Xenopus tropicalis: one gene and its partner. The protein of the gene in region 2 binds, or shares a complex with, the protein of the main gene of each other region. Links are inferred from orthologs where the notes say so. Each region holds a gene or a part of one and is shown on either strand. Other genes may lie near its edges.

What was found.
Region 1: the proteins of pfn2 (region 2) and vasp are in contact, whole or in part, in a crystal structure (PDB 2V8C), measured with the Mus musculus proteins. The link is inferred for Xenopus tropicalis from reciprocal best matches to the Homo sapiens genes PFN2 and VASP. Residues at the interface, in NP_062283.1 of Mus musculus: Gly3, Trp4, Ser6, Tyr7, Asn10, Cys13, Tyr30, Trp32, Met131, Tyr134, Ser138, Phe140; in NP_033525.2 of Mus musculus: Gly165, Pro166, Pro167, Pro168, Pro169, Pro170, Gly171, Pro172, Pro173, Pro174, Pro175, Pro176.

What each region holds. Positions count from the first base shown.
Region 1 is NC_030684.2:70,581,004-70,585,274, forward strand, and holds the start of vasp (vasodilator-stimulated phosphoprotein), read right to left. Parts: upstream 2,801-4,271; 5' UTR 2,479-2,800; coding exon 2,474-2,478; intron 1-2,473. UniProt on the Homo sapiens protein: Ena/VASP proteins are actin-associated proteins involved in a range of processes dependent on cytoskeleton remodeling and cell polarity such as axon guidance, lamellipodial and filopodial dynamics, platelet activation and cell migration.
Region 2 is NC_030681.2:118,615,007-118,619,055, forward strand, and holds the start of pfn2 (profilin-2), read left to right. Parts: upstream 1-1,249; 5' UTR 1,250-1,364; coding exon 1,365-1,496; intron 1,497-4,049. UniProt on the Homo sapiens protein: Binds to actin and affects the structure of the cytoskeleton. At high concentrations, profilin prevents the polymerization of actin, whereas it enhances it at low concentrations. By binding to PIP2, it inhibits the formation of IP3 and DG.

The DNA.
Region 1 (4,271 bases), on a different chromosome or scaffold from region 2:
CCCGTTTCCCATGGAGCTAATAGTGCGAAATAGTAAAAAACGCCGCGTATTTCCGCAAGGTCTGGCAGCTGCCTTTGTGTACACATAGGAATAGGTTGCTGTGCAAATAACAGCGTATTTCGGCAAACGCATAAAAAGTCCGTGGTAACACGTTTTCTAGTGTATTTACGCATAGTGTGTTTTCCATCGAGACTGTTTAAGTTATTTCTATGGATGATGATATTGTGCGTTTTTCAGCCGCTGAGAGAATTAGAAAATATGCAGCGTAAAAACGGCACGTCTGGCATTAGCCTTAGTAAAATGACACACAAGGCATTTTGTCACCCGCAGGCAAAACATGGAAAATGCTGTTTTATTGCATGTCTGATGCATTTTTGAAGGACTGCAAACTTGCATGGTGATTTCAATGCATGACAACGTAAGAAAATTTTGAAGGAATTTGTCACCCACGATTTTACAGGGGTGACAAAATGCCCCATGCGTAAATTCACTTACTTTTCTGCCTCTTTCCAGACTGCAACTTAAAATCCTTTCAGGTTGCCAGGGTTAGTGACCCCAGCAATCTAAACACAAATTGAGAGTGCTGTTTAATTTTTAATGTTTTTCTTATTTCTACTCCTTATCTTTCTGTTCAGAACCTCTCCTTTTTATCTTCTTATTTTAATTTTTAATTAACTTGACCGGGTCTTTCATGCAACTTGGTTAGTTTTCAACCAACTGCATAATGTCCCTGCATATTGTGTCTTTGAAATGGTCTCTCTGGCCAATCAACCTAACGGATGATGGAAATCTGTGCATCTATCTAGTTAGTTGGTGACCAAAAATGCATAAACTGAATGTCTGGATTATCAATTGGATATCCCAAATATTCTCCCACCCATGGGCAGCTTTAGGGTTTGGTCACACTAAATACTTATGTTTGATTAAAGTAAGCCCGAGTGCCTGTAGTGTAAACAGGATGCAAGTGCTCATATTGCACAGTAGCGCTCACATTCGGCAAATTCGACTGAAGTTGAATTTAAGCCCTGAGAGTATAATTTGAAACTTCCAGTAGAACCAGAGTTACAGCATATGACCAGTAAAATGAAATGTGCCACACCATACTTTAACCAAAGTTTGTGGCTGGGAGTATCTGTACCACTGTAGCAACCCCATCACTCACTTCTGATATACACTGAAGCCAGCTGTGTGACTACAAATCAACTAATTTATGACATGATTACTTCTGTAGATTTGCTGTCCATTTAATCCACACCATGGTCCAAATATCCAAAATGTTTTATATTAGGAGCAACAATATATTAGACTTTTGGCTAGTGGGGGATGATGGAAGATGTAGTTCCCCAGCACTCCTAAACACATGAGCTCAGCTGGAAAGCAAAGCAAACCAGTGAACAATAGGTTAATGAGAACTACAGCAGTACAAACAGGTCTTGAGGTCACAGCTTATATACAAAATGGATGCAGTTTTCATTGCTACACTGCAATAAAATCCACTACTACATGCTGAGCCTGCTACTTGAGTATAAGAGCAAAGACACACGGGCCGATTTGTCACTGATTTAGCTACCATAGGTTAGTGTACAAGCTGACGCAATTAACCTCCCATGGGCAAAGACAGACGGAGCTACTTAGTAGCAGCTACCAAATGCCAGAAAATCCCCTGCTATAGGCAATACTGAGCAAACATAGAGAAAACTATCAGTAAATTGCATTGCATTGTCTATTTTTGTAGCTGTGACAAGTAGCTGCTACAAGCTGCTCTGTGTGTCTTCAACCTAACATCCCTGGTACATACCCTACACCATTTGGTATGTTATGCTTTTACACTGTTGTTTGATTTTTAGTTATATAAATGCACTTAATAAATTTACTTTGTGTGAATCTGCTGTACCTTAAATGTATTTGTAGTTCTTGGACATATTACAGTACTCCACTCATACAAACAACAGCCAATTAAATATTGTGTATTTTTTGGTTGTATACACTAAGCCCATTGACTATAGGCTACAGCCCTGCTATTGGTCCTGAACTGGAAGTTGCAGAACCCAATCTACACAGCATATTGTATGCCCATGATCATACTGTATGTCCATCATATATATATAGAAGCAGAAACAAAGACAAAGCCCTTCCAGACATCAGGATGCAGTGAGTCACTATGACACATCCAGCAACTGATAAGGACACTGATAAAAGCGACTGCTCATGGGATGTGCCCTGTGCTGTATGATAGGAAGGAAATGCAAATATGTAATGCACATAACATCAGCAGAACACACTAGAGGGAACTATGGCACACATCACACCCACAACACAGCCAACACAGTTAATGATAAATGAAAAAATTGCATAAAATGACTCCGACAGGCATTAAACAAAGCAACAGGGGCACAGAGATGTGCTTAATACAAGACAGAACTTGACAGAGCATAGTACTACATGACAGAACATGACACATGCCCCCACTCACCTCATGCTGCGATATGAGTCTGTGCCTCCTGCAGGAAGGAATGTGCCCCCTCGCCTCCAGCAATTCCCCCTCTCCTCTTAATCTTTTCTTCTTTAAATCCTTTCCTATAACCCTCTTCCTCACCCCACCCTTCCTGTGTATTCCCTGCTACTCCCGCATGCTTGGGCTCAGAGGTGCTTGGGCTCAACTCTGTGCCAGCACTGCTCTTATCTTGCTGGTTCCTAACTCCCCGACTAAAATTGTCACCCCTCTCTTGCTCCTCTTTTTCTATCTTCCTTCTTATTTTTGTCTGCCTTCCTCCCCTACCCTAGCCTCCCTTTCTTTCGCTATATTCCTCTTTCTTCCCTCACTGTTACATTCAATCACTTCCTCTGTTCTGGGGACAGCCTTCTCTTAAAGAGGCAACAAGCCACAGCCCATCTTAAATGGGCGACCCACCTTTCTGGTGATGTCACCTCTACACGGGAGCTCTGTCTGCTCCCCTCCCCCATAGACAGCATACACTGCCCGGGGGGCGGAGGGGGAGCGGGCATAGTCATAGAGACAAAGGGTGGGGTAGAAAGTAGAGGTATGGCTAGGTAGTTCTGCCATAATCTCCTCTAGAATAGCCTTACTCCTTTCTGCTTAATGCTCGTGAGTGTAAATATGTAAATAATTATGGGACAGCGCGAGTTTCCGCAAAAAAATTAAATCAGGAACTACGGTCCTTTTGTTGCTGGTAAACTACAACTCCCAGAATGCCTTCGGAAGGCACGAATCGTGGAAGTCTTTTTTTAATTAGCGACATTTTCAGATTTAAAGTTTTCTATCAGAGTACAGCTTTTTCTCACAGGAGCCTTTTGCCAAAATGAAGTATTCAAGCATATAAATACATGAAAAATTTACAATTATTTAATTCTTCAGAAGAGCCGTGGTGTAGCCATGTAACGTAAGTTTTCACACGCCTCATGCATTAAAGAGGAAGTCTGGTTCAAACAAGATACTGCATAGTATGTGTAAGCATATTGCATTATCATATATTGACCTCTATGAATAAATAAAACTAGGACATGATCGAGTCTGACTGAATATGTTTATACTAGTTACATTATACATGCTTATATAAGCATTAGTGATGTCCATGCAAAATAATATTCACTCATTTGGCAACCTAGCTGATGTGCCCACCGAAGGCTAATGTCCCCCGGAGAGATTAGTCGCTGATAATTTTAAAAAGCGAGTTCCAGCGACAAGTCGCTTGTCTTTTCCTAATAAGCAGTTACTAGATATTTCAACAACAGAGCGATTCTATTTCCCCCAAATCCAAGTTCCCTGCCCACAATTACATTTCGTGCAATGGGAAAATCGCAGCAACTTCCCGCTCAGTAGGTTTTACTTTCAGCTATTCCAATAGTTTTGAATGAAAATGCTTTCTTTGTAAAATTGGTCAGCGATTCGGATCGATAAGCGATTTGAAGTAGTATCATCGGTTTAGGTACTGGCGATTTATATTCTTCTCTATGTAGAGACAAAACGAGCAACTTCATGCTGGAACTCGCTTTTTAAAAATCGCAGCGACTAATCTCTCTGTGGGACATTAGCCTAAGGTGGGTGATATTGAGCTAATTACAATTAAAGCAATATTTCTCTGCAAAGAAATTACCACTCCGGTCAATGAAGGAGCAATTGTGAGAATTTTGCTGTCCCTTTGCTGAGCTCAAAGTTACACTGGTGGCAAATGAAATATGTCAACACTTATAAATATAATAATAATAATAATAAAACAAAGCAATGGTTTTAGGAATGTATTGGGTTTTGT
Region 2 (4,049 bases):
GCATCTTCAACCTGTGGCATTCCGGCTGATCATGTACATCATCAATGCTGTTGTTGGCATTATGGGAATTGTAGTTCCAACAGCTTTGGAAACTGACGTGCATGATCCTTAACTAGCTCTTAAATTCTCCAACATCTTTTCCTATGGTTTTTTTTTGCTTCCACCCACTCAGTTTCTATGCAGTATATAAAAACCCATCCTTTATATTCTTCTGCAATGCTCACACTGCGACCTTTCTCCCCCCTCCCCGCGCATTTGTGTGTCTCTGCATGTGTCCTGCCTTCTCCCTGCTCCTCCCCCTCTTTCCCTCCTCCTACCCTTGGCAGAGCAGATATAAATCATATCCATCACCTCCTCCCCTCCCCAAATAAGAGTATTAAAAAAGGTTCTGAAACAAAGGAGCCCTGCAGTGTCCCGCGACTCAAAGAAAAAAAAAGAATTCTGTGTGCCCAAAGCACAGCCAAGCAAAAGGGACTAGGGGTCCTGTCTGCATTAGCCTCACAGGGGGGGGGCAGCAAAGCCAGTGCTATTCACTCAGGCAAGGGGAGCCCATGCAGTGGCCCTCCAGCTGTTACTTCTCCATACCTGACAGTGATCAGCAACAACTGATTCACCTATTATTTTAGAGGATTTATCATAGCAAATGTGATAGACTACTGCGGGTAACTTTTTCAGCTGTATCAGTTAGCTAGCCCCTCAATATTCTGCATTACATCTATTTGAATAGAACCTTTGGTGCAATGTAGCCCACACACCATATACCTGTGTAAAAGCATATCCACATATTGAAGGTTGTCTTTTATCATTATTCTTTATTTATATAGTGCCACCACATTTCTGCAGTGCTTTAGTAATGATTCATCTTTCACATAAATGATTGGCCAAGTGGAGCTTACAATCTAATGTCCTTCTTCACACAGGATCTGATACACTATAGAGATCCTAATAGAACCTCTTGTTAGTGGAGGTTGTAGTCTCATGATGGAGGGGATGCAGGCTGTGAGGACACAAAGTGATCCCTGCATGGAGCTGCAATGGCCAATGCAATGCTGCTCCCTCACGCAGCCCCAGCTACTGCCCGTTAGAACAACGTGGTGGAGGTGTGCCAGTGTCCTTCCGCTGCTGGCGGAGGGATCTGCAAGTGGAGGCATTAGAAGGAGATAGGGGGAGGGGGACTACACCCGGGCGCTGCCCTATTTCCTTGGCTTCTGCTGGCTGTCTGAGCTCAGATTATCTCCGGCCGTGACGGAGCCGCTTCACCCCCCTTCCCCGTTACCGGCTACCCACACCCTATTCCCCCCGCAAGCTCTAGTGAGGAACCGTTATTTTGCAGCGTGACGACCCCCTTTCTACCCGCACTGAAGATGTCCGGCTGGCAGGATTACGTGGATATGCTGATGGCCGATGGCAGCTGCCAGGAGGCCGCCATTGTCGGTTACGTGGACGCCAAGTACGTCTGGGCAACGACTCCGGGGGGCATCTTTCAGATTATAACGGTAAGCGGAATGAGGATGCAGGAGACTGATTGCCGCTATGTGCTGCACCTGCCGCCTGGGGGCGGGACTTGCGTCTAACGGGCTCCGGCTGCACAAAGGGGCCACACGGGACGCGGCTTGTCTGTATCTGTGCCGGTAATTCTGCGCTCCCCTGGGGGGCAATGTGTGTGTATGGTGCTGCCCTACTGCATAGAGTGTGCAGAGCTTTCACTGGAGGCCATTAGTGACCCAGTGCAAGTGGCACCAGGCCCAGTGCTTTACCGCGACACGTCGCATGCGACTTTAGTATGTCAGCAGTATAGCCGTATATATGCATATTGTAATGCACTTATTATTCAGCCAATGTCCCCCGGGGGCACTGGCCTCGCATTGTCTTATTGGATTCACAGGGTTTTTGAGAGGAGGGCAAAAAGGGCATTTGAAGAAGGAACTCTGTATCAGGGTGGCCCTCTGGGGGAAGGAATGGAAATAAAAGTACAATAGACCTGTACTGAGTAATTGTGTTCTCTATATTTGTCTGTGATGTTCAGTCTCGGGTTGTAGTTCAGCAACAACAGAGGCTGGAGATCCCTGATCCATTTACCCACTGCTAACATTGGGGCCTCCTGTATGTTACTATGTATTCCTCTATGGCCAAGGGCCCTCTGTTCTCTAAATGGCAGTGGAAACTTCTATCCTTGTTCAAGGGCTATGGGCACAATCAGTGCAGCTATTTCCTATGGCCATTTTGCCTTTAGGGAAGGTGTGTGCTAAGTGCAGCCCTGTGCTGCTTCTCACTACACCACTGGCTCTTGCTTGATGCTGGGAGTTGTAGGAAAGGTCCATGTGATCTTCCCACTGTTAATCTGCTGCCTCTGGAATGCTAGTCTGTATCTGGGGGAACTCTGAATGAATGTATGTAGTACAGGGAGGAACAGCCTCTGTGCCCCTGGAAGCCTGAAGGTAGTAGCAGGAGGGCCGCAGCATGCCCATCTTTGGTGTAGGGTGAAATGTGTAGGATCAGGCCGGCGTGCCATTGACTCACCACAAGTCGTTTGCATAGCACCCAGCCGCTGTCGTGGATGAGATTTAAAGCACCTGACGTAAGCAGCTTTCGTGAATCCCAGCCCCCGCTTCTCTCTCCATATTCTTCTGCAAGATGGCGTGGTCCCATTGATTTTTTTTTTCTCCTCTGTCTCCCTAACATTTACATTTTTTAGTCTCCCTGCCCGACATCATTGCTGGGTACCTCTACCTTTTTTTCCCCCCTCTCGTAAGCATCGCTGTGTCGTTAAGATTTGTGCTTTAGGGGTGCTGAGATCTAATTGGGTAGCGCAATTAAAAATTCTGCTGCATTCACAATGGCATCCTGCTGAATGGGGGCTACATAATGCCGTCCTTAACTCTCTCATGGCTAGTGTAGAAGCCCAAGAAAGAGCCATTTGTTTTGTGATTTATACATTACAGCCAAATTCAGTCGGTCCTTGTTTAAGGCTTCACATTGCAGTTGCATTTTTATGTCACATATATTTCAAACCCAAGCTGAAGTATTTTGGCACGAAGCCCAAAAACTTTAAAAATCACGCTGGTTGGTGCTGAATGAATCTGCCAGTGTCTGTCATACCATTCCAGTTGTGGCATAGCCGATGAACAATCTGCTGGGCCTTAGAAAGCTCATATTGCACATTGGTGTCTGTATCGGGTTTTAATTGAGAGATTTTTCAAGTCATCAATATAAAGCAGTTATTCCACTTCCTCCTCTGAGAACTTGTGCAGAATAAGTTCTTCTATAGAGCCAACTTTAAATGAGTCAAATACTCAGAAATAATTAACTGTAGTTCGAAGCATTCTTCCAATACACAGTAAATCTTTTATTCATGTAGTTAGTTGGGACTTGTGATTTCTATTGAAAGAATCATTTTTCAGTGCGTTGCTATTTCTTGTCCTTGCTACTTTTACCATTGGAACAATGTAGCAAGTCAGCTCTTCCTTAGCCAAGATTATTATTCCCACTGGGAAATGGAGTCTTGGCTGGAGAAGAGCTGACTCTTGCTACATTGTTTCAGTGGTCCAAGGAGTCAGGACCAGCAGTGCAATAAATAGCAAGTGACAGGCTGTTTTTAATAGCCATTGCAATTCCATTTAACTGAAGATTTGAATTATTTTAATGTAAATTTGAGAGTTGGTGAACTTTTTCACTTTGCAATTTGTTAGTATTTGGCTGACATTTCCTTTTAATATCAGACTGCAAGATTGTGACATTAATTTGAGTGACAAATTTAGAGCAATAGTCTGATTAATACATCATCAGTCTGGTTAATAATACACTGATGTCTCATTTGGGTAAGAGTGTCTCAACTGGGGCTGAGCAGCAGCTATTGAACTGTAGCTCCTTGCATTGCTAATAGCAGAGATTTCAGGATCAGCAATACCCAGGGGCTGTGGGTGATACGCTACCTTTATTGATCACTTATGATTTATCTCTATGTAAGTACATCTGGAGAAGGGTTAATCACTGGCACGGCCACTGGTAATTTAGGATGATATCACAGAACAGAGTAGAATGTTAGCCCT